7 linked regions of the Mus musculus genome follow. The protein of the gene in region 2 interacts with the protein of the main gene of each other region in a biochemical or structural test. Links are inferred from orthologs where the notes say so. Each region holds a gene or a part of one and is shown on either strand. Other genes may lie near its edges.

The links.
Region 1: the proteins of Mapk1 (region 2) and Ptprr form a complex in vitro, tested with the Homo sapiens proteins (2 studies listed by BioGRID, with this or other methods). The link is inferred for Mus musculus from reciprocal best matches to the Homo sapiens genes MAPK1 and PTPRR.
Region 3: of the proteins of Mapk1 (region 2) and Map3k1, one has a biochemical effect on the other in vitro, tested with the Homo sapiens proteins (3 studies listed by BioGRID). The link is inferred for Mus musculus from reciprocal best matches to the Homo sapiens genes MAPK1 and MAP3K1.
Region 4: of the proteins of Mapk1 (region 2) and Elk1, one has a biochemical effect on the other in vitro, tested with the Homo sapiens proteins (16 studies listed by BioGRID and IntAct, with this or other methods). The link is inferred for Mus musculus from reciprocal best matches to the Homo sapiens genes MAPK1 and ELK1.
Region 5: of the proteins of Mapk1 (region 2) and Srebf2, one has a biochemical effect on the other in vitro, tested with the Homo sapiens proteins (2 studies listed by BioGRID). The link is inferred for Mus musculus from reciprocal best matches to the Homo sapiens genes MAPK1 and SREBF2.
Region 6: of the proteins of Mapk1 (region 2) and Tpr, one has a biochemical effect on the other in vitro, tested with the Homo sapiens proteins (2 studies listed by BioGRID). The link is inferred for Mus musculus from reciprocal best matches to the Homo sapiens genes MAPK1 and TPR.
Region 7: of the proteins of Mapk1 (region 2) and Ier3, one has a biochemical effect on the other in vitro, tested with the Homo sapiens proteins (2 studies listed by BioGRID and IntAct). The link is inferred for Mus musculus from reciprocal best matches to the Homo sapiens genes MAPK1 and IER3.

The regions. Positions count from the first base shown.
Region 1 is NC_000076.6:116,017,110-116,021,162, forward strand, and holds the start of Ptprr (receptor-type tyrosine-protein phosphatase R isoform a precursor), read left to right. Parts: upstream 1-1,253; 5' UTR 1,254-1,645; coding exon 1,646-1,703; intron 1,704-4,053. UniProt on the Homo sapiens protein: Sequesters mitogen-activated protein kinases (MAPKs) such as MAPK1, MAPK3 and MAPK14 in the cytoplasm in an inactive form.
Region 2 is NC_000082.6:17,024,882-17,028,381, reverse strand, and holds part of Mapk1 (mitogen-activated protein kinase 1), read right to left. Parts: intron 2,357-3,500; coding exon 2,242-2,356; intron 2,025-2,241; coding exon 1,893-2,024; intron 1-1,892. UniProt on the Homo sapiens protein: Serine/threonine kinase which acts as an essential component of the MAP kinase signal transduction pathway. MAPK1/ERK2 and MAPK3/ERK1 are the 2 MAPKs which play an important role in the MAPK/ERK cascade.
Region 3 is NC_000079.6:111,760,494-111,763,993, reverse strand, and holds part of Map3k1 (mitogen-activated protein kinase kinase kinase 1), read left to right. Parts: intron 1-413; coding exon 414-495; intron 496-756; coding exon 757-940; intron 941-3,500. UniProt on the Homo sapiens protein: Component of a protein kinase signal transduction cascade. Activates the ERK and JNK kinase pathways by phosphorylation of MAP2K1 and MAP2K4. May phosphorylate the MAPK8/JNK1 kinase.
Region 4 is NC_000086.7:20,947,809-20,952,072, forward strand, and holds the start of Elk1 (ETS domain-containing protein Elk-1), read right to left. Parts: upstream 2,801-4,264; 5' UTR 2,632-2,800; intron 1-2,631. Other genes in the region: protein UXT, read right to left, coding at 4,162-4,215. UniProt on the Homo sapiens protein: Transcription factor that binds to purine-rich DNA sequences. Forms a ternary complex with SRF and the ETS and SRF motifs of the serum response element (SRE) on the promoter region of immediate early genes such as FOS and IER2.
Region 5 is NC_000081.6:82,174,769-82,178,268, forward strand, and holds part of Srebf2 (sterol regulatory element-binding protein 2), read left to right. Parts: intron 1-328; coding exon 329-550; intron 551-2,387; coding exon 2,388-2,502; intron 2,503-2,637; coding exon 2,638-2,819; intron 2,820-3,500.
Region 6 is NC_000067.6:150,409,838-150,413,337, forward strand, and holds part of Tpr (nucleoprotein TPR), read left to right. Parts: intron 1-142; coding exon 143-340; intron 341-2,063; coding exon 2,064-2,171; intron 2,172-3,053; coding exon 3,054-3,280; intron 3,281-3,500.
Region 7 is NC_000083.6:35,820,255-35,823,411, reverse strand, and holds Ier3 (radiation-inducible immediate-early gene IEX-1), read right to left. Parts: upstream 1,700-3,157; 5' UTR 1,694-1,699; coding exon 1,484-1,693; intron 1,375-1,483; coding exon 1,102-1,374; 3' UTR 501-1,101; downstream 1-500. UniProt on the Homo sapiens protein: May play a role in the ERK signaling pathway by inhibiting the dephosphorylation of ERK by phosphatase PP2A-PPP2R5C holoenzyme. Also acts as an ERK downstream effector mediating survival.

The sequences.
Region 1 (4,053 bases), on a different chromosome or scaffold from region 2:
GTGTGTGTGTGTGTGTGTGTGTGTGTGTGTGGCGGTGTTCAAAAAGCGGGGAAGAGGAAGGACATTATAATGTCAGGTTAGCCCAAAGCTTCTTAAGAAAAAAACAAATTTAGACCTTTGTAAGCAACTGGGTGGGCAGTGGTCTGAGTGAGGTCCATTGCCGAAGAGGCAGAAGGGAAACCTGCGAATAGAAGCAGAAGATGAACAGTCTTGAAGGGAGCTTGGCTGAGGGACATTTGGCCTTAGAGTAATTAGTCACTAGAATGGTAAGGATCTTCATCCTACCAACTTAGGTAAAGGAACTAAAAGTGCATATATTTGCACACTGTGCGAGCCTCGTTAAAGGTACAGGATTGGAGCGGAGAAGTCGAGTTAAGTTGATAAGGCTTGAGTGGCTCAGCTGTGAAAAGCTCTCCTTACTTTCCCAGAAGACCCGGGTCTTATTCCTGCGACCGCGTGGCAGTTCGCAACCATCCATAAATCCAATCCTAGCCTTTTAACAACCTCATTTGACCTCTGAGGGCAATGACACACAGGCGTGGTGGACAGACAGGCATGCAAGCAAAATACCCCAATACATTATTTTTTAAATTAATGATAAAATCTTAGGTAATTATTTCCATAAAACACCAAAGACCGTTCCTTTCCTTCGTATTACACGGGTGTACTTCCCTACCCTGTAAGTATGACCTCCCTGTTTTCAAGCACTCCAGTCAAAGACTTGAGGCTTGAATTTAGTGGAAGTACAAAGATTGGAAGAAAGAAGCCTGGGGTGAGCTCATTGGCAAGAAGGGGGCGCTCTCGGAATATCCCGTTTGCTTAAACACAGCAGGCTGTAAGTGGGAACATTTGCCCAACCAGGCCAGAACTCGCTGCTTGCCTATGCTTCACTAGGGTGGGGACATACTGGGAAACTGGTCAGCCTGCAAGCATTTAGTTGCCACAGTGAGCTGAGTCCACGCGTGATTCAAAAATGTGAGGAAGGAACCAGATGAGTGGCCCCCTCCACTTCCCTCCTTGGGTTTCTGTGGTCCTGGCCCCGCCTCTTCCCTCCCCACTCAACTCCTCCCCCCGCCCAGATTTAGGAGGAACTCTAGGACCTCAGATTTAGGAGGTCCCTAAAGCTAGCCTCCAGCCCCTCCTCCCCCTCCTCCTCCTCGTGGAGCTTGTTCCCCTCGCAGTCTCAGCTAAGACCCGGAGAGGTGGAATTTCGATTTGAAACTCCCTAGCCAGGGCCGGAGCTGGGCATGCTCAGTGCCTCGGTGTGTCTCGGCTGCTGCTAGCTGCACAGGCAGCAGAGGCGCTGCCTGGCTCGGAGGCTGGCACTAGAGTCCACCCCACTGTCACCACCGGCTGCGGGCTTCCAGAAGGCCAAACTCTCACCTCTTCTGAGCGTCTTGCCCCCATCAGCCTCGAGTCCCCATCTCCCGCAGCATCCTACTCTCGTATCTCCCCATCCCTTGCGGAGAGGAAGCAGGTGCTCGGTTCTGTAGGCACGCCACAGACTGCTCTGTGTACCCCAGCGGAGGACCCTGTCATCGGATGCCCGGGATCAAAGGACTCTTGGCAGTGGTTCTCTCAAATAGCACTTAGCCTAGAGTGGGGTTGCGGCGGAGTTTCTCCTCTGACCCTCAATGCACACACTATGAGGAGAGCGGTCGGCTTCCCTGCGCTGTGCCTGCTTCTTAATCTTCATGCTGCAGGTAAGGGCTTGCGGGGTTCAGAGCTGAAGCTAAGGAGAAGATGGGAAACAGCACACGCTAGAGGACTCCAGGGAAAGCTTGCCTGGCAGAGAAAGATTTGGGATAATGTCTGAGGGGTGAGAGAGTGCACCTGTTGGAAGGCTAGGGCTGAAAACTTAGGCTAAATTCAGCTCTCCCTTCTTTATCTTGCATGGCGAAGAGTGAACAGTTTTTAATGTGAATATAGATTTGGTCCCCCCTCCATTGAGCTTTCCTGCTTGTGCTTCTAGGCTTTGCGCTTGGTTGCACATTTTACAGGGAAAAAGAGATGAGACACCCTGCTGGATGAAGCCCTTCCTACTGCAGCGGCTACATCCATAAGATCTCCCAGTGTAGCGAGCGCTCACGGGGATGCCCTGTCTGTAACCTGACGGTCTGCATCTCCGCCCCTAAGAGCCAAATGCTCGGTTTATTCATCATGCTGCTCTAGGCTGCTTTGGCCCCTGCTCTTGTCATTCGGGTTTTCTGAACCAATAAGAGGAAGGAAAGGTTTCAAACCGGAGGCTCCTCTCTATTTCAGCACCACGGTCAGTATCCGCAGTCAGTAAAGAAAAACCCAACCACGCTGACAAGCCTGGGGGTTTTTTATCACTGTGTCCCCAGGATAGATTGGATGGGAGGCAGCGAGAGTGTAAACACATAAAAATAGATTGGACACAAGAATCACTGTGTAGTTCTAGGGATGCACAGCTGATAAAGTGCCTAGGAATTTTATATTCGGTGTCACCTGGCTCCTCTAACCCTGTGGACAGGCTCACTGGACTGCACCCTAGGTGATTTTCACACACGGGAACCAAAATAAAACATGGCAGAGAGATTTCAGGAACCCTGCCGAGACCGCAGTTGTCCATGCAGTGATCCTGTAGCAAGCACAGACCTTTTCTTTGAGTTTCTTTCACACGCATTCATTTCTCTAAGTACACCGAGTGGGAGTGTATTATGCTACTGTGAACACACACACACACACACACACACACACACACACACACACCTACAATCCTTGTTATAGTGCTCCAAAAGACTGAGTGTTTTTTTTTTCATGTATGCAATGATGGGAGTGAGATGTAGTACTTTTTTTGTCCCAGCAATTGCTATTTAAATGCATTGTGAATTTAGAAACAAACAATGTATAGGAACAATAAGGCTATAATTAAGGATGTGTGTTAATTATCATAGATACAATATTACATTGTGGGGTGTTCAGTGGTTCTCTGGTATCTTGAAAAACCAGTGGGAGAAAAAGCTATGATTTGGTCATTAAATTATTTGCAAACATTTCATTGCCACATGTAATTATTTAACGTTAAAATATATGATGATGAAAACATGAACACTGTTATTGTTTTACATCCAATACTGTTTAATGGTACAACTGAAAAAATAGCCATTGCCAAAAAAAAAGTTTTCATTGCTATCCAGTTAAGTAATTAATTATCTGATAAAATACATCAGTGAAGTTATTCTTGAAAATTATGTATAAACAAATGTTAGGGATTGTAATTAATGCATACTAAGTAGTTATAAGCTTGAAATTATAAATAGACTTCATATTAAGCATGCAGAAAACATTTCTAATTTATTATGGATGAACCCTGGGGATAAGGGAAATAGAGAGCATTTTCTCATCAGAGGTGAAACCTGGAAGTCTGCATCCCTCGATGAAGTCTGCATCCCTCGATGATGTCTGGAGGTTTGCCAAAGTGTGTATTACAAAAGTCAAAGCAAATCTATAATCTGCACTTTGCCTTCTTAACATGTAAAAAAAGATTAAAAATAAGATTATCCAGCCAAGTTTAGTTTCATAAGGCAACTGGTGATTTACTACATATTTCAGGTTTCAATTGCAGTATGCTACATATACATTAATTGTATTTGTATTTAATACAGTGCTTTGGAATGGTGTCTTGTCAAAGCAGATTACAAGTCTGGGATTGTAATTGTCTTGCCAGTTTCATTTTGGATTCATTTTTAATTTTAAACAGCAATTTGTGGGTCACAGGCTGTCATCAGATTAAAATGCATCAGAGCTACCTAATATTACTGTTTGGGCTTTTCATCAGAACTCAAATAAATGTGGCTTTCTTGACCTCTGCTCCCACAGATTTAGGTAATCAGAAAGTAAGTGGCTGGGAGAGCAGAGATCAAGAAGCCTCCAAGCCTTTTACTTGTTGAATATCTGAGCTTGTCTCTTGTAAAGAAAGCCACATTCCCAGGGCAGAGGCTGACTCTATTTTTAGAAAGGACAGTGACACCTATACACATTAGCTGCTTGGCTGAAAAGCTAATTGCTCGATATCAGTCATACCCAGGT
Region 2 (3,500 bases):
TTTCTTTGTGTAGCTCTGGCTGTCCTGGAACTCACTCTGTAGACCAGGCTGGACTCGAACTCAAGAAATCTGCCTTCTTCTGTCTCCCAAGTGCTGGGATTAAAGTCATGTAACACCACTACCCTGCTTGGCTTATATCTTAACCATCAAGTTTTCTAATGTCTAAACCCCCTAAGAGAGCACCTCTGAAAAGCAGATAAAATGCTCAGTACATGAAATACACAAGCCAATCTAAATGTAATGTGTAGTAAGTAATGGCTCATCTGGCCAAGCCTGGTGGAAGGAGAGAACCAATTCTTGCATGCTCTCTGACTTCTGAATATAAATAATAAAAAAATAAAAAAACAAATGATAGCTGGGCAGTGGTGGCGCATGCCTTTAATCCCAGCACTTGGGAGGCATAGGCAGGAGGATTTCTGAGTTCAAGGCCAGCCTGGTCTACAGAGTGAGCTCCAGGACAGCCAGGGCTACAGAGGAACCCTAACTTGAAAAACCAACCAACCAACCAACCCACAAAGTTTTTTTTAAAAGTTAATGAATCGTGTGGGTCAAGTTCCAATTTTTAAAATAGAACAATTAAATAACCACGATTCTACATACCTAACTTTGTTATAGCCACAAGATGCTAAAAGCTATTTTAGAAAACTGGACCTGGTGGTTTAGGAATATGATCCCAGAAAGTGGGAACTGAGGCCAACCTTGCTATACAGTAAGACCTTGTTATAAACAATCCCCACCCCCAATTTTGAGATTCTTGTAATTAGGAATATTTCTTTTATATTTCCAAACATTATCTGTGATAACATATTGTACTGTATCAGAGACAGAAGGAGTTTCTAAATCTTAACTCAGGTCCATGCATTTCCTGGCTATCTAAGTTAAACGTTTCTGGGCTGGGAAGATAGAACAGTAGGTAGAGTGATTGCCTGGACATAGTAAGGACCTGATTTCAATCCTCAGAGTGCACTAAAAGTCAGGAGGATAAACAGAACCCTGGGGCTTGCTGGCCAGGTAGAGACACTGTTAAAAAAAAAAAAAGGTGGATGGTGACACCTGAGGGTTTCTCTTGTCTTATAAGATTAGCAGAGTACAAACTCTCTCTCAGCTAGACACTAAAGAGGAGGGAGAGAATGAACGAACACAATAACATGTAGAAACTGAGCTCCCAGCAGATGACTACTATAAAACCATCAATGGCAAGTCAGATGAATGCACCGAAAGGAAAAGAGTGGAACCACTGACAATGATGTTGGGCTAGAGAGATGGCTCAGTGGTTAAGAGCACCGACTGCTCTTTCAGAGTCCTGAGTTCAATCCCAACAACTACACGGTGGCTCGCAGCCATCTATAATGGGATCTGGTGCCCTCTTCTTGTGTGTCTGAAGATAGCGACAGCGTACTTACATACACGCAATAGAAGCTAATTTCAAATTCTAAAAATATGCCTGCAATATAAAAACTTTTATAAAAATTAAAATACTACATTTTTTAAAGTAAAAAAAAAATCTTAGGTAAAAATGTGCATGTACATTTTTATCCATAAAGACACAAGGATGAGCTGTTATGGCAATGAGCTGCCTTCTCCTTGGCCCATTCAGATCCTCTCAACACTGTCTACTTGAGTCAACTGTGTGTCTATGTATGAGAGAGGAGAGAGGGAAGGACGGTGGAAGGAAGGGAGGGAGAGACAAACAATCTATCAGGTTCTTTTCAAGAGTGGTCTACAACCTCACCCAATGAACCAGCTTTCCAGTCTAACACATTTTAAATAAAATACCCAATAGTTACGAGTTAACTTGTTCAGTTTTCAAGCTGGAGCCTGATAATTTAGCCAATACAATAAGTAAATCTAAAGCTAAGTTTAAGAAAAAACATCAATGAAGCAAGTCTTACCTTTGGAGTCAGCATTTGGGAACAACCTGTTCCATGGCACCTTATTTTTGTGCGGGAGAGAAAGCAAATAGTTTCTAGCTTTTAAATTTATTATACAATTCAGATCTTCCTGTGATGGAGATCCAAGAATACCTATCAGACAAAACATTAGCTGTCAATTGTCAAGATTGCACACATCACCTACGGGGCAACAGAGATTCTATATTTAATGTATTTACTTTACACTACAAGTTTTTACAAAAAGATCTTTAATATTTTTAAAGTAGAGAACATGAAAACAAAACAAAGCAACCATGCTAGAGTGAGCCTGAGGTGACTAACGTAAATCCAGATCATGTTCAGAGCTTACCCAGGATGTGATTCAGCTGGTCAAGGTAATGCTTTCCTGGGAAGATAGGCCTGTTGGATAGCATCTCTGCCAGGATGCAGCCCACAGACCAAATATCAATGGACTTGGTATAACCCTGCAACAGAAAGGGGGAAAGTCAGAGTAACAGAATAGAGCTCTCTGCAGCAGTGTGCACAGATGAAAGTTTGAGCATCAAACTTTGGAAACAGTGACACAAAATGAAAACCAGTAAGTTGGTTTTCTTAAGAGATGCCATCAGGTGGTGGTGGCACACACCTTTAATCTCAGTACTCAGGAGGCAGGGGCAGGAGGAGCTGTTCTGGTTTGATGATAAACTGAATTGTGGAACTGTAGGCTGAAATAAACTCTTTTCCTCTCCAACTTGCTTTTGGTCATGACATTTTATCATAGCAACAAAAATCAAGACAGATGCTGAGTCACTATAATTACTTTACATTTATATCTTGAAATTATTAAATTAGAACTTCTGAAGTATGCCTCAGTCCATCTTCAATGTTAGAGATTTATAATTATTACAAACTTGAGCTAGAAAAAGTCCTAATGCTCATTGTTTATATCATTTAACTAGTTTTTATAAAGTTGGAAATCAACTTACATGGACAGCACTATATTCCTGGAACAACTTATCCATTTTGTAAATTAAAAAAAAAATTAGGCTGAATGTCCTCCCTCCCCACCTTAGGTGATGGTTCCAACATTCATCCCTTAGGTATATACTTTCTTTTTAAAGAAGTCTGTTAAAATTCACATCATTAGCTTATTTCAATGTAACAATATTTCAAGATGCTCCTATAGGGAACACAAGCTAAATTTTGTGGAAAGTGTTACGTATAGTAATAAATGGAAAGAGAAATATAAACATCAAGAGAAAAAAGCCAAAGTTAAGGGTGAATTGATTTTAGAAAACCAAAGAACCAGTCGTTGGACCTACAGTAATGATAAAACATGTAGAATTTTTAGTAATTGTTTCTAAATCTCTTGTAGCTGGTGCTGTGGGTCAAAGCTATTTAGCTTTAAATAAAGAGATTAATGAACACCCCCAAAATAACACACACAAATAAATAGTAATCAGAATCAGGCCTCAGGGAGAAGTGCCTGCTCTAGGTCTTTGACAGGAATGGATACAACAGTCTGGGACAGCTGATGCCAGAGAACAGCAGGAAACTGTCCAAGGCTCCTGGGGAACGGTCCAAATCCTGGAGAGAGTAGATTATAACTCAAGAGAATAAGTAATAGAG
Region 3 (3,500 bases), on a different chromosome or scaffold from region 2:
GGAGTCCTGTTTAAGCTCCATGTAGAGTTTCTACAGACTGGGCTATAGGGTCTGTGTAGATTGAGGAAAGGAGTGTATATCCAGGATTGCAGGTAGAAATGGAAGGAACATAGGCTGAAAAGCTCCCAGCCCAGAAGCTGTGAGGACAGAAAGGGTGGAAGACCTGGACAGGCTTTCCAGAGGGTGAGTCTGCAAGGCTAGCCACAGAATGGAGTGGGGAAGATGCTGTGAGGGATGCTCAGCACAGCAGTGTTATCACGAGTGATGGTAGCATTTGTACAAGCATCAGGATTGACTCCACTGCGGTGTATGAGGCTCCTTCTATATCCGTCTTACACTAACCATCATGAATGCTTAGGACTTTATGCTTAAACGTTGACATTTTCATGATATTTTTCCTTTATATTTTTCAGGGGCGGAAGAGTGTAGAAGAAATAGAGAGCCTTTAATATGTCCCCTTTGTAGATCTAAGTGGAGATCCCATGACTTCTACAGGTAGTAATTTTGAATATCTGATTTGTATATGTTCAACAAAAAATTAAAATGATGTCCTCTAGGCCTTCATGGTAGTACACACCTGTAATCCCAGCTCTTGGTGGAGCTCAGGCAGGAGGATGGTGGGTTCAAGGCTAGCCTGAGCTACAGCAAACCTGGTCCCAATAAATAAATAAATAAACAAACAAACATAAATAAATAAATGGGGGGACTTATATCTGTTAATATCTTGTGGCTAAGTTTTGTTATTTTTCATTTTAGCCATGAGTTATCAAGCCCCGTGGAGTCCCCCACCTCCCTGCGAGCTGTCCAGCAGCCATCCTCCCCACAGCAGCCCGTGGCCGGATCACAGCGAAGGAATCAGGAGAGCAGTTTTAACCTTACTCATTTTGGAACCCAGCAGATTCCTTCCGCTTACAAAGATTTGGCCGAGCCATGGATTCAGGTAGGTATCCCTTTATGTAATTCCCAGAGAGTCCTGTTGGCCATGTCCCGTGTTTGTCCCCGTCCCTCAGCTGTTTCTGATTTAGGGAAGCACTTGGCTTGTGTGACTCCTAGCATGCTAAAACCTTAAATCTGGCTCCTGGGTTATTATTTTCTATATTCACGTTGCACAGCCTACATTTTAATGTTCCTTTGTAGTTTCACCTATCTCCTGTGTCTCTTCCTAACCTAACGTACGTAAGAGGCCGTGCAAGGGGGGAGTTGCAGCCTTTCAGAGCTGACTTCCCCCGTGTAGTCCCCGTTCCTGGCAAGTGTGTCTGCTGTGCACCTGTTTCCTGCTGTGCAAACCCAGTTTCCCCCTTGTGTGTCACCCTGGTACACAGCAGGCACTTGCTGAGAGGACGCACGAGGACTCGGGTTTCTCAGGCTTGGGTGTTTTGGTTGCCTTTTCCTCCTCGGAATGGTTTTTCATCCTCCGTGAACTTGGGTTTTGGTTGGCCAACTTATAAATTATTTTCGTGGTCACTTGAATGCTTACTGTACTATTTTCAAACGTAGGATCTATAGCCAGTGCTTCCAGTAGATAGTATAGTGAGATAGGAGTGAGGTCAGATAGCACCGTGTGGCTAGTTGGCAGGCTCTGGGTGCTGGGCTGTTTGTGAGGCACCTTAACTCATCCAATGGCTCTGATAGAAAAGGGCTGCCTTTCGGCTTCGCGGCCCCTTCTTCTGCGGTCTTGAAATGTACTCTTCCTGTTAGCCACCCGCTCCTTACCAATCTGATAAAATCCACAGAATTTATAGGCACAGCTTAATTCTCCCATCTGGTTTGTGAGCAGTGTCCTGCGGAGGCACATCTCCTTGTTTATTCTCAGCTATGCGATGGCACGGTTTTGAGGCTGTCACCGGCTGTGTCACCGGCTTTACCTTAGGACATCATGGAAGGTTGATTAAAGCTGAAGCAGCGCAGAAAGCTCGAGGCTCTGGCTGGCTCATTCTCCTTAGAGTTTCTTTGTAACAGAACACATGTAAATACATCAGAACCTGTTCCCCACCCCAGAATTGGGTTAAACTTATCTCTCATATTTAGAAGCTTTCACGTATATACGTCGTCTTAGACATTAAGCTTACTTTTTGCTAATTGGTCATGAGGTCAATACCATTTACGGTCCTCCTGTAGAGGAGGTTTGGGGCCTGGTGCTGTAGCCACACAAACATCAACTCTGTTACATCATTGCCCTTCGTTAGTATAAACAAAGCATTCTCTAGTCTCACCTTTCTCTTCTGGTCCCACCTGCTTCATCTTTTCCTACAGGCCAAAAGTAACATAAATTTCTGTGGCTTTTATCTCTTAAGAAAAATATTCTGACTTGAAGTCTCCACACCACTGATATTCCTGCTTTTCCTGCCTTTTTTAAATAAAACTTTGCTTCCTTCTCTATAAAGTATTTTAATCAAGAATAAATATGGAGTTCTTTATAGTTTTTTCTTTTTTTTCTCTCTCTCAGTTTTAGTGTTTTGTTTTAAGATGTATTTGTTTTATATATGTGAGTACACTGTAGCTATCCTCAGACACACCAGAAGAGGGCATCGGGTCCCATTACAGATGGTTGTGAGCCACCATGTGGTTGCTGGGATTTGAACTCGGGACCCCTGGAAGAGCGGTCAGTGCTCTTAACCGCAGAGTCATCTCTCCAGGCAAGGTTTTAGTATTTTTAAGCATAAAGCAAACTATGAAAATGAAGCTACCCAGTTATTAGAACTTACTCGAAGCTCTCCAGTGTTAGTTCCCATGGTTACCAATCAAACTTGAGTAAAGGTATGCCGTGCTCTAAGTGTTAGAGTAACGAGCGTTTCAGACTAAGTGCTGCTGTGCTTTAGTGATTTCTATTGTTTTTGTGACCAATTGCCTGGAAGAAGTAACCCTAGAGGGAAGAATGTGTTTCAACAACTGAAGGGAGCAGCTAACCTTGGGGGGAGGCATGACAGGAGGAGCTAGAGTCTCACTGCATCCACAGACAGGAAGCAGAAGAGAAGAGCTTATTTCTCCTCACTCAGCCCACGAGCTGGTGCTTAGCACATTTACGCTAGGTCCCCCGCCTCAATTAACATAATCTGGAAAGGTCTCAACAGCTATTCCCGCAAGTTTCTAAGTCCCATGAATTTGACGGTCAGGGAACTAGGGTGTGACGCCCATTTCTCCCTGGATGCTATTGGCCATCGACGTGAAGGGAGAAAAGGGAGCAGAGGCAGAGAGAGAGCAGAGTTTGGACGGCTGTGAGTATGGACGAAATGACCTCCAGAGTCTGCTACTTGGGAGGCTGAGACAGGAGGATTGCTTGAGTACAGGAGTTCTAGGCTATAGTGCGCTCTACCGATCAGATGTCCACACTAAGTTCTGATGTTTACACTTAAGTGTTTGCCATTTAAGAACGGGAGTCTGAGTATAATGTCCAGCATGCTATAGAAAGCTGGGTGTGTTGATGTACTTGCAATCCCAGCTCAGTGGCCAGCCAACATGGCCTAGTTAGCCTGATAGAAGAGCCCATCTCCAAAGAGAAA
Region 4 (4,264 bases), on a different chromosome or scaffold from region 2:
ACAGCATCTCACTCTGTAGTTCAGGTTGGTCTGGAATTCGCTATGTCACCCAGGCTAGTTTTTATTTCCTGTAAATTCTCTCTTGGTCTTCCATGCTGGAAATATATAGCCGTGAGCCATCATTCATCGTCTAGATACTACACCCCCCAAGTTAATTTGTGCAGCAGATTATTCCAAGCACCTACTGTACAGAGGTATATTTTTACATGAAGGGCAGATAAAGCCTGTAAGTTCCCATAGGATGTTTATTCTGAGGAGGATAGACAGATATCTATTTATATAAGCTATATAGCATGTCTAACCATGACAGAGTATAAAGGGCCAAAGCAAGCAGGAAAGAGATCTGAACCCTGCTCGGTATACAAAATCAGATAGTCAAAGAGAGGTGGGTGTTGACTACTTTGATACAAAAAATGATATTTGAAACCTTTTTATGTATATACCTTTATACATTATATCCCAAGCACCAGTGTGACAAATACATGTTTTACTAAAATTACACTACCCAAGATGCAAAGACATGAAAGCACTCTCTGAAACATCTTTTCTATTTGTGCCTTTTCATATCACCAACATCACATTTCCTTTACGCTCATTTTATTCACAAATCAAATGACATTCTTACAAATATCTTTAGTGTGTTCCCTGCACAGGGTAGTGAAAAAATTCCTTTGGGTATGGCAAGTGTACAGTACCTTGAAAGTTACCATACAGAGATGTGGGAGTAGTGTTAATGGAGAAAGAAGAGCTAATGCAAAGGCCCTGAGGCTGGCCTGTACCGGCTGTTTTTGAGAAGCAGTGAGGTTAGCATGGCTATAGCATGGATCTGAAATGTGGAGATGAAAGAGATAAGGTCAGTGAGGTGACTTGTTTAACCCACACATTTTTTTCACACTGGAAAGGCTATAGTTCTGACTCCCCCATTTTAGCCCAGTACAGGAAGAAAGTAGTTAAGTCATTCATGTAAAGTCACACCACTGCTAGGACTTGAGCTGATGGGTCCTGAGAACAGAGTAGAATGGAGACAGCTCTGTTGTCAGAAAGAACAGCAGAAACAAAAGCTGGGTGATTGAAACTAATTTGGCTGTTAAGGAATGTGCCCTCATATGGGATGCAATGAGGTGAGAGAGGGGCATGTCAAAAGTGTTCCCCTATCTAAGTAGTTATTGGGCCATCTGTGAACCCACATGCCCTAGTTTTCTCAGTTATCTGTCTCACAGGGCTATGATGAAGACTGGAGACTATAAGCAAGCTGGAGACTATAGAATACTGCCTGGTACACAGCAAGTGTAAAGTATAAAGTTAGATCCGACTGTCATTAGCAATAGTACCACTACTATAGTTGAGAACTATAGCAAAGTAAAATGCCTAGTGGCTAAGAGTGTTTATGAGGGCTGGGCAGTGGTGGCACACGCCTTTAATCCCAGCGCTTGGGTGGCAGAGGCAGGCGGATTTCTGAGTTCGAGGCCAGCTTGGTCTACAGAGTGAGTTCCAGGACAGCCAGGGCTATACAGAGAAACCCTGTCTTGAAAAAAAAACAAAAAACAAAAACAAAACAAAAAACAAACAAACAAAAAGAGAGTTTATGAGGAACATGGCATATATTAAAAGTCCCTGGGTTTTACAAGTACACAGGACTTCCTAGGAGATGGGGGCAGAGAAGACTGACCCAATACATAGGAGGAGGAGGAGGGAAATAAAGTACAAAGCCTATCTATCCCCTTTGGGGAGGGATTGCAAGCTCTGAGGATTTGAGAGACTGTAAACACTGGGGTGGCAGAAGGCTTCTGAACAGACTCATTCATTACAAAAGTGAGATGTGGTTTAAGCTGATACCTATACAACCGCAGAGAAGAAAAGCCATCACATAATAATTAATTAAAGTGAAGGATAGGACAAGGCCATAGACTGGGCTGTTGAAAATGAAAATAAAAATTGCAAAGCACCAAACTGACCCACTGTTAAAAGGAAGCAGCTCAAAGACTGGAGTCTACAAATAAGGGAGAAAAGTTAGGGCGGTGATAACTAGAGGAATATGAATGCAAGCATGCAAACTAATTCACAGTAAGATGGGGGCAATGGGAGGAGGTGGATAAAGTCATGGGCTTATGCACTGGGGACTCAAGGGGGGCAATAATGTAAACTTAGGTGGACTCACTGTTGAACAAACAATGGGGTGTCTTAAGTGGGAACAGTGCCACAGATTGATTCACTACAATAAACATGAGGGGTTCAGTAAACAAAGCCACAGAAGGTTCCCCTTAAATTTGAGGCTAGGGGAAATGGAAACACTTTAGACACAGCTACGACTAAAGGGGGACTGGACAATGCAACAGACTGGTTTCCAATAAGTGGGGGTTGGGGAGGGCAAGACCACGGACGAGTCCATTAAGTTGGGGTGGGGAAAATCATAAGCTCACAGACAGATCCATTATACAGACAGCAGGATGTTAGCCCACGTTCAGATCTACTATAAAGGGCAAAAGGAGCAGGCAATGCACACACAGGGGCAATCAGTTGATGGTAGTGGAGCCAAATACCAGCAGGCTGGGCCAAACCACATCCCTTGCGCGGGGGTGAGGATACGTGGGGTCATGGACAGGGTCCTCCACCTTGTGGGCCTGGGCTCACCTGCGAGTGGCGCGGCGGTGGCAGTGGCAGCTCCGGGGGGCGGGGGCTCCATACGAGGCCCCACCGCCCCCCAGGCCCCGGTTCCAAGGCGGCGGCGGTGGTGGCGGCGACAGCAGAAGCAGCAACCAGAAGCCGCCCCTGCGTTTCCCCACCGCTCACGTGGGCTCTCATGGGAGGAGCCAAGCGTCCTCCTGCTTGCTGATTGGACAAAATGCCAAGGATCCTAAGCACAGGGGCCTGGGTGGTGGAGGAATACTAACAGAGCTGTAACACAATTGGCTTAAAAGGGATTGATGGACTGCGGGTGGCCAACTGAATCTATAGAGGTGTTGGGCGGCGCTAGTGCCTCACGCCGATTGGGTCAAGGAGGACTGCCAAGTGCCAAGGTTTGAGGAGGGATGGGGAGGTCGCCCAGTTCACACCGATTGGCTTAAGTGAGATTGATGGCAGACAGACAGTCCCAGAGGATGGAGGGGTGGTGATGGGCTGTTTTCAGCTGATTGGAGGATTCTCCCAGACAGTGGCCAAAACACCAAAGTAGGTGGTGCTGTACACCATACCGTTCAGCAGAAACAGGACTTATTTAGAAAGGGCCATAGCAGCAGGGTAGGACTCAACTCTGTGGAGGGGGGTAGGGTAACGCTATGGGTAATTAGCTAGGCAAAAACTAACTTTGAATTCAGCAAAAGGTGGAGGCCGGAATGGCTGCCGGATATACAGAGGAAATGTATATGAGAGGTGGAAATTAACTGTCTACAAGGGCAGAGTCTAGCCACAGTCAGTTGTAAGGGTGGATTTAGGTTCTTAGTGATCTATGACTGGACTTAAACCTAGGGACTGTAGGGGCTGTAGCAGGGAGGGCAGGATCTCTGCATACTGTTGAAAGTAGAACTATTAGAACTACGATTTAGGGACCAAGTCAAGGGTTGGGCAGTAGTGTTATTTAGGGTACCTGGATGACCACTGGACTGTGAGAGACAATAAACCTTAAGATCTGAAGTAAAAAGCTGACGGCCATGGAAACAAATTACTTTGAACTGGAACTGTAAAAATTTGTTTCAAGTGTCTCATGTAGCCCAGGATTACCTTAAACTTAAATCCTTCTGCCTCTATCTCTTGAAGTCACAGGTGTGCCACACACCTAGCTTATGTACACAGTACTGGGGACTGAATTTTAAGTTTCATGTGTGACAGGCAAGCATGCTACCAATTGAATCTCATCTTCAGCCCATTCAGTCCATTCTTTATGGTAAGACAAAGGGCACAGATACAAATATCTAGGAAAAGGAATTGTGAGGAGCAGGGCCAAGGTTCTAAAGGCGACAAAAGAGAGTAAAGCATAAAGTCAGGAGAAAAACACAAGTTCTAGGCAAGACCTCTAGAACGTTTTAGAGGTTCTACAGAAAGGATGGGTCTTCCAGTAATTTTGGTCTCTAGGGCACTTAGTAAATTAGTGAGAATTAGGGAAAAAAGGACTATGTGATTCCAAGGCATTCAGGTGCTTTAATATTGGAGGCTGGGAAGATGCAGTCAATGGGGAGATGGCTCTGGGAAATTCTGCAGGCCTTGTAGTTCTCTAAGTCCCTGTAAAAAGAGGACAACGTATACTGAACCGAGGCAGGGTCCAGGTCCT
Region 5 (3,500 bases), on a different chromosome or scaffold from region 2:
GGTTACTGACAGTTTGACAGCAAAACCATACAGCATTTTCCTAGCAATCCCACCCCGCCCCCACCCCCATCCCCGCCCCCGCCCCAGGCCAGAAGTTAAGGCCCAGCTAATCTTTTGGTGGTGCTGTTTATTAATAGTGATCTTGAGAGGAAGATGGGAGTGGATGTGCACAGCTCTGGGCCTCTCAGGACCTGACCTCCTTAGCCCAAGAGGGTATCAGACAACGTGAAGCACTCCTGGGTGATACCCCATATGCAGGAGCAGCCCACTTCGTGTTGTGAGGTTACTGTATTTAAACTAACAAAAGGAAATTCTGCTCATGTTCTAGACCCTGGTGGGCAGCAACGGGACCATTCTGACCACAATGCCTGTGATGATGGGGCAAGAGAAAGTTCCTATCAAGCAAGTGCCTGGCGGCGTGAAGCAGCTGGATCCTCCCAAAGAAGGAGAGAGGCGGACAACACACAATATCATTGAAAAGCGCTACCGGTCCTCCATCAACGACAAAATCATAGAGTTGAAGGACTTAGTCATGGGGACAGATGCCAAGGTAAGAGCCAGGAAGAGCACTGACTCAGGCCCAGTGTCGCCTTGGTCTCTGTCATGCAGTTAGGGAAGGTGCAGCCTTAATGAGTGGACACAAAAGGAAGTTAGAGACGGATTTTTGTTGAATAATCCTGGTGTTTAACAGGATTGTAGAATACTGCCCAGATATGGTGGCATATGTTTATTATCCTGGCATTCGGGAGACAAGGCAGGAAGATTACAAGTTCTAGGCCAGTCAGGACTAAAAGTCAGTTCCGTGAGTGAATGAATGAATGAATGAATGAATGAGGAGGCTTTCAGAGGCGGGTCAGCAGAAGAGCAGGTGACACTCTTCAGAAGACCTGGGTTCTGTCCTAGCACCCACGTGGTTGTTTACAGTGGCTGTAATCCTAGTTCTGAGGTCCCGTGTCCTCTGTGTGTCTCAGGCACCAGGCAGGCATGACAGGCAGGCAAAATACTCATAAAATAAAGATAAATTAATCTTTAATGAGTAATTATCTAGCATAAATGGAGTGTTGAAGGTTGGTGATGCGATGACGCCTAGTACATTTACTCTGTCACCTGTGCTGTGTGACATGCGGTGAAAGAGGGAGATAGCGCATCCTACCTTGTTGACAGGTATAGGACTATGTGTACCTTGGAGGTAACTTAGGACATTCTTGACTTTTTTGGGTTTTTTTGAGACAGGGTTTGTCTGTGTAGCCCTGGCTGTCCTGGAACTCACTCTGTAGACCAGGCTGGCCTTGGACTCAGAAATCCGCCTGCCTCTGCCTCCCGAGTGCTGGGATTAAAGGCAAGCGCCATCACCGCCTGGCTCTTGACATATTTTATAGTGCTCCCTTTCAGGACAGAAGCAAGAGTGCAGATCAACTCTGCACAAGAGCAAAGCAGAGGAAATTAATTTTTTTTGCATATATCTTTTTTTTTTTTTTTAATGAATGTGTCTCCTGGGAAGTGGGAGGTGCTATTTTTTTTCTTGTTTGTTTGCCACTTGATTTCCTTAAAGTTTGTTTTTATGCTAGATTATTATGTGGATTATTATAGTCAAATAATTATTGTATGTCAGTTTTATGCCAGGTTCCAGGCTATAAACTCTTAACATGTATTGTCTCATGAAGACCTTACTACCAGCCTATGGCTTAGATCCTGCCATTATTCACATGTTAAGGATTAGGAGAAGTGAGGATTTAGCTCATGATAGAGCTAGAATGGGCCAGACCTTGGGTCCGTTGCCTAGGTCCAGTCCCTAGTGATGTGTTAGTCTTGGCCAGTGAAATGAGCCAACTCAGGCCAGATTAGCGTATACAAAGGCGGGTTTAATGGGAACCAGCTCTCCAGTGGGTTCACTGATCCCAAGTAATAAAGCCAGGAAAGTTGGCAAGGCCAAGGGGTTAGGGGTGGGGACGGGAGAAGCTTGAACACACATACAGGGAGAGAGAAAATGCAGAGAGCGGCAGAGAGAAGGAGACAAAAATGTCTCTGTTATATAGGGAAAAACCTCTGGGTAAGGGGTATAGCAGCCGTGCCCTGTAACGGGTAGGGACCAAGAGCTGCTGGGAGAACCTAGAGGCCAGGCCCACTTTGATATGTTAAATATGCATCTCAACGCTTGTCCTGAGTCTGAAACCCAGCACCTGGTACTATCACCACCCCACCAACCAAAAAAAAAGAAAGGAAAGAAAGAAGAGGTCCAGAGTTAGGGCGAGCTCTGTGTCCACCAGCCAGCCATGAGCCGGGCCCTGGCACCTCGCAGCTGTGCTTCCCACGCGTGGACTGTGGGGCTCTGCTCTCTCAGCTCCACACGCACGGCCGTAACTGTGTTTCGTCTGCCTTCCTTCCAGATGCACAAGTCTGGCGTTCTGAGGAAGGCCATTGATTACATCAAATATCTGCAGCAGGTCAATCACAAGCTGCGCCAGGAGAACATGGTGCTGAAGCTGGCCAATCAGAAAAACAGTAAGTCTGCCTGCCGGAGGGCCAGCAGACCTCACAGGGGAAGTCCTGTGGCAGGCACTGAGAGGTGGGACGCACATGTGTGTGAGGCCCCTCTCATGTGGGACTTTATAAAAATGGAGGGACTTGTCTTTGCAGAGCTCCTGAAGGGCATCGACCTGGGCAGTCTGGTGGACAGTGATGTGGACTTGAAAATTGATGACTTTAACCAGAATGTCCTTCTGATGTCTCCGCCGGCCTCCGACTCCGGGTCCCAGGCCGGCTTCTCTCCCTATTCCATTGACTCTGAGCCGGGCAGCCCTCTGCTGGATGACGCAAAGGTATGTGCTTCTGAAATGTCTCACCCTCAGAATCTCTCATTTTCTGTAAAGGAATAGTGGCCACAGAGCGCTGACCCAACCAGCGGTCTAAATGGTGTAAGGTACAGGGGGCTGAATGCCCTGTGCCGTTAGCTGTCTGTGAGGTGGGAGCTGCTCAGTATGGTCCATGCCTGTAACCCAGCCTGGCAGAGGATCTTGAGTTCCAAGCAAGCTGAGGAAGACCACCCTCCCCCCACCCCACCCCCATCCCCCTAGAAAAGGGCCTCTGGATGAAGAAGCCACAGACCCTCAGACCCTCAGACTTAGCAAGTCAGACAGGGAATGAGGACACAGAGCAGCTGTCATGCGGGTGGGCTCTGGGAGCCCCTGGACGCACTCCATTACTCTCCCTGCCTGCCACTAATGGGCCTGGCAAGACCACTTTCTAGGCTGCTCTGCTCGATTAGAGCAAGGCCGCCTCTTGGTGCTCTTTCCGGAAACAACTACAATTTGCAATCTAACAGTTAGCATTCCACCAACTGAGGGCTCTTAAATGGTCCCTGAACAAAAGAGCCCTTGGCAATTGAAGTTTTAATGGAATTAGTTTGCAGAGGCCCTGAGCACAGTGATTTCCCAGAACCTTTGGAAACACTGAATCCTGTCCTGCGTCTTGCAACTGGAGTCTTTCTGACTCCAGAAACA
Region 6 (3,500 bases), on a different chromosome or scaffold from region 2:
AAGTAGTTATATGTGGCAAATAACTACTTACAAATAACAAATACTTTTATGTAAGTGGTATGTTCATTATGAGCCTCCATAAACTACATACTCCTGTCATTACACTTCAACTTAGTGAAATGACCACCTTTTCCATTCCCAGCTATATAATGCTTATGTGGAAACTCAGGATCAGTTGCTTTTGGAAAAACAAGAAAATAAAAGGATTAATAAGTATCTGGATGAGATAGTAAAAGAAGTGGAAGCCAAAGCACCGATTTTGAAACGCCAGCGCGAAGAGTATGAGCGTGCACAGAAAGCTGTGGCCAGTCTTTCTGCAAAGCTTGAGCAAGCTATGAAGGTTGGTTCATTTCTCAACTTGACCTTTAGGCACAGCTACTACTGAATCATCTTGTACTGGCTACTTTTCTCATAACACTCTTTGCACTAGAAAAGCTTGAGGCTTTCACTCCCACGATGACAAATTCTGACTTTGACTCAGCTAAATTGTGAGAGTCTCTTACATATGTTAAGGTGATTGAGAGGGAAATCTTCTTGGACCACTCTTCAAATATTCTCATAGTGCATTAGAATGTTGGCTAATTTAGCATAACCATTTTTTTTCTTAGAGGGTTTGATAAGCCTGTCTAGAATAATCATAGCTTGATATTAGGTCACAGATTTTTACATCAATTCAAAATTTAGCCTGCCTTAGTATGCATTACTTTATAATAGCTCCTTTGCCATGTTAAAGGTTGCACGTTCGTGACTACCCTTTTGCTATCAGAGGGTATGTTTTACTTAATGATGTAAGAGTTTATACTCTAATTTACCTTTATGGTACAGCTTTTTACAGAGAAGTCTTGAAGATTTAAGAGAATTTTATTGAGGAAATGTAGATAAATACATTTATATCTCCTATTAACTGATATGTTTTTTTCTTGGAGAATTTGAGTAAATTGTATCCTTAATTCTGAATTAAATCTTCTGTTATAATATAGAAGCCGCTGACATTGAGAAGTAGCTAATAAAGTGTTTTACAGCAGTGTAACTTTACTCATTGTGCCCTAAGGGACTGTTGGCAATCTGACAAATTAATCTTGTATTTCTATTTTCAGAGAGGTCTCTTGGGACCAATTAGATCTTTTAAGTTTCTCTGTTAATAGGATATTGCCTTGATCTTCTTGGTATGTGAAGTGCATGTCGTTAGTTAAATGGCAGATAGACATCAATTAGAATAGCAGCTTTCAACTTATAAAACAGTTTGTTCCTTCACTGTCAAAGAATAATAAAAGGGCTTAATGGTCATTTCTTCATTTTTTTTTAATAACTGGCATTTTCTATCCACAACATGAATAATGTGTTTTCTAGTGTAAATCTTCAGCTCTTAATTTGTAGGGTTCTAATCGCAATCCCACTGCATCTACTTTGCATCTTAATTCACCTTGTTTGTACTTAGTAGGTTTATGAGTGCTGTCTTTTCTGACTATTTCTATACTTCTATTTTCACGTTTCCTCTTGCACCTACACATAGCTTCTTAAAGGTGTATGAACTAACGAGATATATTTAAAAGTATATGAAAATAACTACGAACCTAAATATGCATAAATTGGAAATAGAACACAGATTTCCCTTTAATCCATCTGATCTTGTGCTAATGGGAGGGTTCTCAAAACTCCACCTCAAACTATGGATACTGCAGAGCTCACCTACTAAGTGGGTACTGTTTTGGTTGCTGCTTCTTTGCAAATTGCCACAGACTTTTAATGAAGTCTTCTGTGTCTTACCCAGCATATTTAGTTTTGACATCTCAAGTGTTTCAGTCTAACTGTGATTACCATTGATCCTTCTGATCATGATTCTGGGGTCATTTGGAAATGCACTGGGAATTTGATACTTATTTTTGCATAGTTGTATTTGACAACTTGTTAAGGGTAGAAAATGCTTTTTATTGTCATATATATATATATATATATATATATATATATATATATATATATATATATATACACATACACTATATTTCTATTATTATTTATATCCTGGGTGACACTGAGTTTTCCCTTGTGTTTATATTTTAAAGGAGATTCAGCGATTGCAGGAGGACACTGATAAAGCCAACAAACATTCATCGGTACTTGAAAGGGACAATCAGAGAATGGAAATACAAATAAAAGACCTTTCGCAACAGGTTAGGACATTTTGTGTGATTTCCAGTTTCTTTGTGATGCTTGAGTCTGCATCTTATGTCTCACGACGTCTCTTCTAGGAAAGGCGTATGTATTCTCGTCCTGTAGCACTTACATACCATCTTGTCACTGTCTTCCCAGAGATTTTTGATTGATTTTCACATTGTTGGTGACATTTGTAATAAGTACACAAACAATTGAAACAGGAAGCGTTTTTTTGTTGTTGTTCCCCATGTCCTAAGAGTGTAACCAGTGTTAGCAAGTTGGCGTGTATGTGTTTCATGCCATTCATGTATCAGTAAGTACATATCTGAATATATAAGTGTGTTTTTGTTAAAATTAGGTTACACTATGCATTACTCACTACTGCTATTTCTTGAGAAGGGGACTTGAACAACCCTTCCTCATCTTTCTGGGTGCTGGGATTTTAGGTGCACACCACCATGTCTGCTCTTCCTCTACCTGCCATATAAAACAAGCACTAAATAAGTTACTTGTAGTTTCATGTTAAAAAAATAGCCATTATTCTGAAATTGTATTTTTCTACTTTCTGTAAGTTTTCTTTATATTAAAAGTAACTATTTCAGCTGGGCAGTGGTGGCATGCTCCTTTATCCCAGCACTTGGGAGGCAGAGGCAAGTAGATTTCTGAGTTCAAGGCCAGCCTGGTCTACAAAGTGAGCTCCAGGACAGCCAGGGCTATACAGAGAAAGAAACCCTGTCTGGAAAAACCAAAAATTTTTTTTTTTTAAAGCTATTTCGTTAAAATCTTTTCTTAGATTTTTTTTTTTTTTAGCATTAAAGTGATAGATTTTGATGTTTTTAAAAATACTATATATTAGCTTTGGTTGGTTGGGTTTTATAACATTAAATTTTTGTTTCTAGATAAGAGTGCTCTTGATGGAACTTGAAGAAGCCAGGGGTAACCATGTAATTCGGGATGAGGAGGTCAGCTCTGCTGACATCAGTAGTTCGTCTGAAGTGATTTCGCAGCACCTAGTATCTTACAGGAACATCGAAGAGCTTCAGCAGCAGAATCAGCGTCTGCTATTCGCTCTTCGAGAACTTGGGGAAACCAGGGAACGAGAAGAGCAAGAGACAACTTCCTCTAAGTAAGCAGTGACCATGGCAGTGACCATGGCTAAGCACTGGGTACTGGGCTTAGTGTGTCCTTAGAGATGCTGGGTAATGGAGGTGCTTAGGGAAACTGAGCAACGATTCTATGGAATTATTTTTAATAAGGCGGTAAACTTCCGTTTAATATGACTAGTGCTAAAATAGGTAAACTTGGCAGACTTCATTTAAGTTTCAAGAAAGAAGTCTTCATGGAAA
Region 7 (3,157 bases), on a different chromosome or scaffold from region 2:
CACCCGGCTTAGTGGAAGCTGCACTTGCGCCCCCCACCCGGCCGCACCCTGTTGCAGCAACAGACGCGACCCCGCCCCCTCCCAACCCCTCGGTCCGCCCCTTTCCCGGCAGGCTCCGCTCGGGTCCGCAGCACTACAGTTCTCGGCAGCCCAGGGGGATGCCAGACATTCTCCCCCCCACCAACAACCAACCCCCCCCCCCCCCCGCTCGAAGCATTGGCGTGGAAGCTCCGCCCCCAACCGAGGCCACGCCCTTCCACTCTGGTTCCTGAATACCCGCCGCCTGCCATGAGTAAGCAGGTTGCCACACCACTCTCTAACTGGGAAAACCGCACACCCAGCAATGTATGACTGCATCCGGTGACCGGATATAGGTCTGTAACTCCAAGAAAGAGTTCAGGACCCAAGAAAGGGTGAGGACTGGGCACCTAGTCACATCCTCCCGCCACTCCCCCCTCCCCCCCGCTTGAATGATACACTTCGAGAACTGCAGATAATAATGACAGGCAAATCAAGTTTATTCGTGTTCACAGAACATACATACTAGGCGACCCCAGACAGCCGCCCTCTGACAATCCATGGACCCAAGACTCCTGCAGCTGCCCCTGAGAAGCAACCAGAAGACATCAAAGGCCGGATTCCCAAGGGTCTTCCAAAGCCTTACAACAGACTACAGAGTTGAAGTGCTGGAAGACGGAGTGTTACCCCTAATCTTATTACACCCCCCCCAGACTAATCCCCAAGCTGGGAGTCCTACCACCCGGGTCCTCCCTCCCACAACTCTGTCTTACCGACCCTATAAATCGTAATAAATATCTGTGTTACAGCAGGGAGGCATATCTCGCACCCCTGCATAAGTTAGAATAAATATTACATACACCCCTCCTTCACCTAGGAGGATATACATAAATACATAAATATTAATTAGACACGGAGAAAGTCTCTGTCCGTCCCCAGTGGGCCTAGCCAGGACCCGCGGTGTCTCTTGGCGGTAGTGTTCTGAGTTAGCGTTGCCTTAGAAATCCCAGTTTGGGATACGTTCTCTCGCACCAGGTACCCATCCATGGTGCCTTTGTTTCTTCGGACTGTGACCCATCGCGTTTAGAAGGCCGCCGGATGTTGCTGGAGAAAAGCTTTAAGATCCAGCGCATAGTCCGAGGACTCCGAGGTCAGGTTCAAAGGCTCGAGGACCGGGGGCGCAGTAATGGGCGCAGAAATGGGCTCAGGTGTCACGGCGCTGGTAGCATCCTCCGGAGCCAGGGGCTGCGACACACCCTCTTCAGCCATCAAAATCTGGCAGAAGATGATGGCGAACAGGAGAAAGAGGACCCTCTTGGCAATGTTGGGTTCCTCGGTTGGTAGCTGGCGCCGGACCTGAGCAGATAAAAGAGGGAAACGTCAGATCGAAGGTCCCTGCGCCTAGTTGTTACCTACAAGTTCCAGGGCGACGCGACCTCCTGATGCCCACTCGGGCGATACTCACCACTCGAGGGTAGAGCACCCTTCGGCTGCGTTTTCGGTGCCCGCGAGAAGTGTTCAAACGCGCGGTGGACACCACGGCCCGCTCCGGGAGAGGGTCGAAGGTGAAAATTTCGGGACCAGAGCCCCGCCGGAGTTCCGGGCCGGTGGAGGGAGCTGGAGAAGGGGCCCTCAGGCCAGTCATGGTGTGGAGATGGTTGCGCGAGTGGCACATAATTTAGACGTTGTGCAGAGAGTGTAGAGGAGTGCAAATCCCCCGCAAAGCAGAGCTACTTATAGAGCCAAAGAAGGGGCCGGGCCGGGGGGAACTCCGCCCTTCGCAGCTGGGGAGCAGTTGGCTGCAAGGGGCTGGAAATTCCAAGGAGGAAGCAAAATGTAGGCGGAGCCTTGATTGGTTATTCTCTAGGTGCCCCAGTGCACGTTCTTTCCTGGGAGTAGTGAATGCTTGTGGGTAAAAACATTGGGAGTAAGCTCACGTCCGGACATGAGGTAGCTAGAGAGGGGCTCTCAGACACGTAGCAGATGGTCCAGCCACCCTCCTTAGTGAAGTCCAGCAAGATCAAGGGACCACAGAAAACACATTCACGTACTTACTTGGAGGTATGCGCAGGAAACAGGAGGGAAGTCATTGCACAAACTTCCAAGAAGATAAAGAACACACTAGAACCCACAGACCGGGCTCTGCCTGCCTCCGTTCACGTGAAAACCATACACACATCACAGAGATTTCAACAGAGCACACGGACACAAAACTGCAATGGTTACTTAGGGACACTCCCGAGACGCTATTCAAAGGGATAGAGGGAAGACAGGAAGTCCGAAGCTCCTGCCTTTGCCCCATACTAGGTGGGTCACAAAATAAGTGAAGTTTCTAAAATTATGAGACTTTGTGCCCGTCGTCAATAGCACCATTAGGAACCCACGGGATCCCCGTAATGCTTGAGAGACCGCTTTCCCTGAACACAGAAGTCAACATTTCTGAGCACCTCTAACAGTCCGAGTGAAAGTGTGGTGGAAACTACCCATCACAACATGAAACTTCAGCCCTCTTCCCAGCCTGCCAAGCGGAGGCAGGAAGACACAGCAAAGCAAGCTCCAGTTTCAAACGACAAACAAACAAACAAACCAAAACCATAACATAGAAGGGGGGGGGGGGGAGACACTGGTGGCACAGTTCTTAAGAACACTGCTGCTTTTGCAGAGGACCTGGAATCAGTTTCCAGAACTCAAGTGGCATCTCGCATCCAGTCCCAGGAGATCTGATGCCCTTTTCCCTTTTTGATCTCTGTAGGCATCTACATGCATGTGGTACACATACATACTCAAAGACAAAAGACTCATATGCATAAAGTAAAAATGAGACATATCGCTGGGCGTGGTGGTGCATGCCTTTAATCCCAGCACTTGTGAGGCAGAGGCAGGTGGATTTCTGAGTTTGAGGCCAGCCTGGTCTACAGAGTGAGTTCCAGGACAGCCAGGGCTATACAGAGAAACCCTGTCTCGAAAAACTAAAAAAGAAAAAAAAGAAAAAAAAAAGAGAGAGAGAGTAAGAGAGATATCTTAAAACAAACAATTTGGGTGAGATGGCTCAGTCTGATGTCCTGAGTTTGATCCCTGGGATCCACGTGGTCAAAGAAGATAACTAATTCTTAGAAAGTCACCCTCTGACTCCCATACG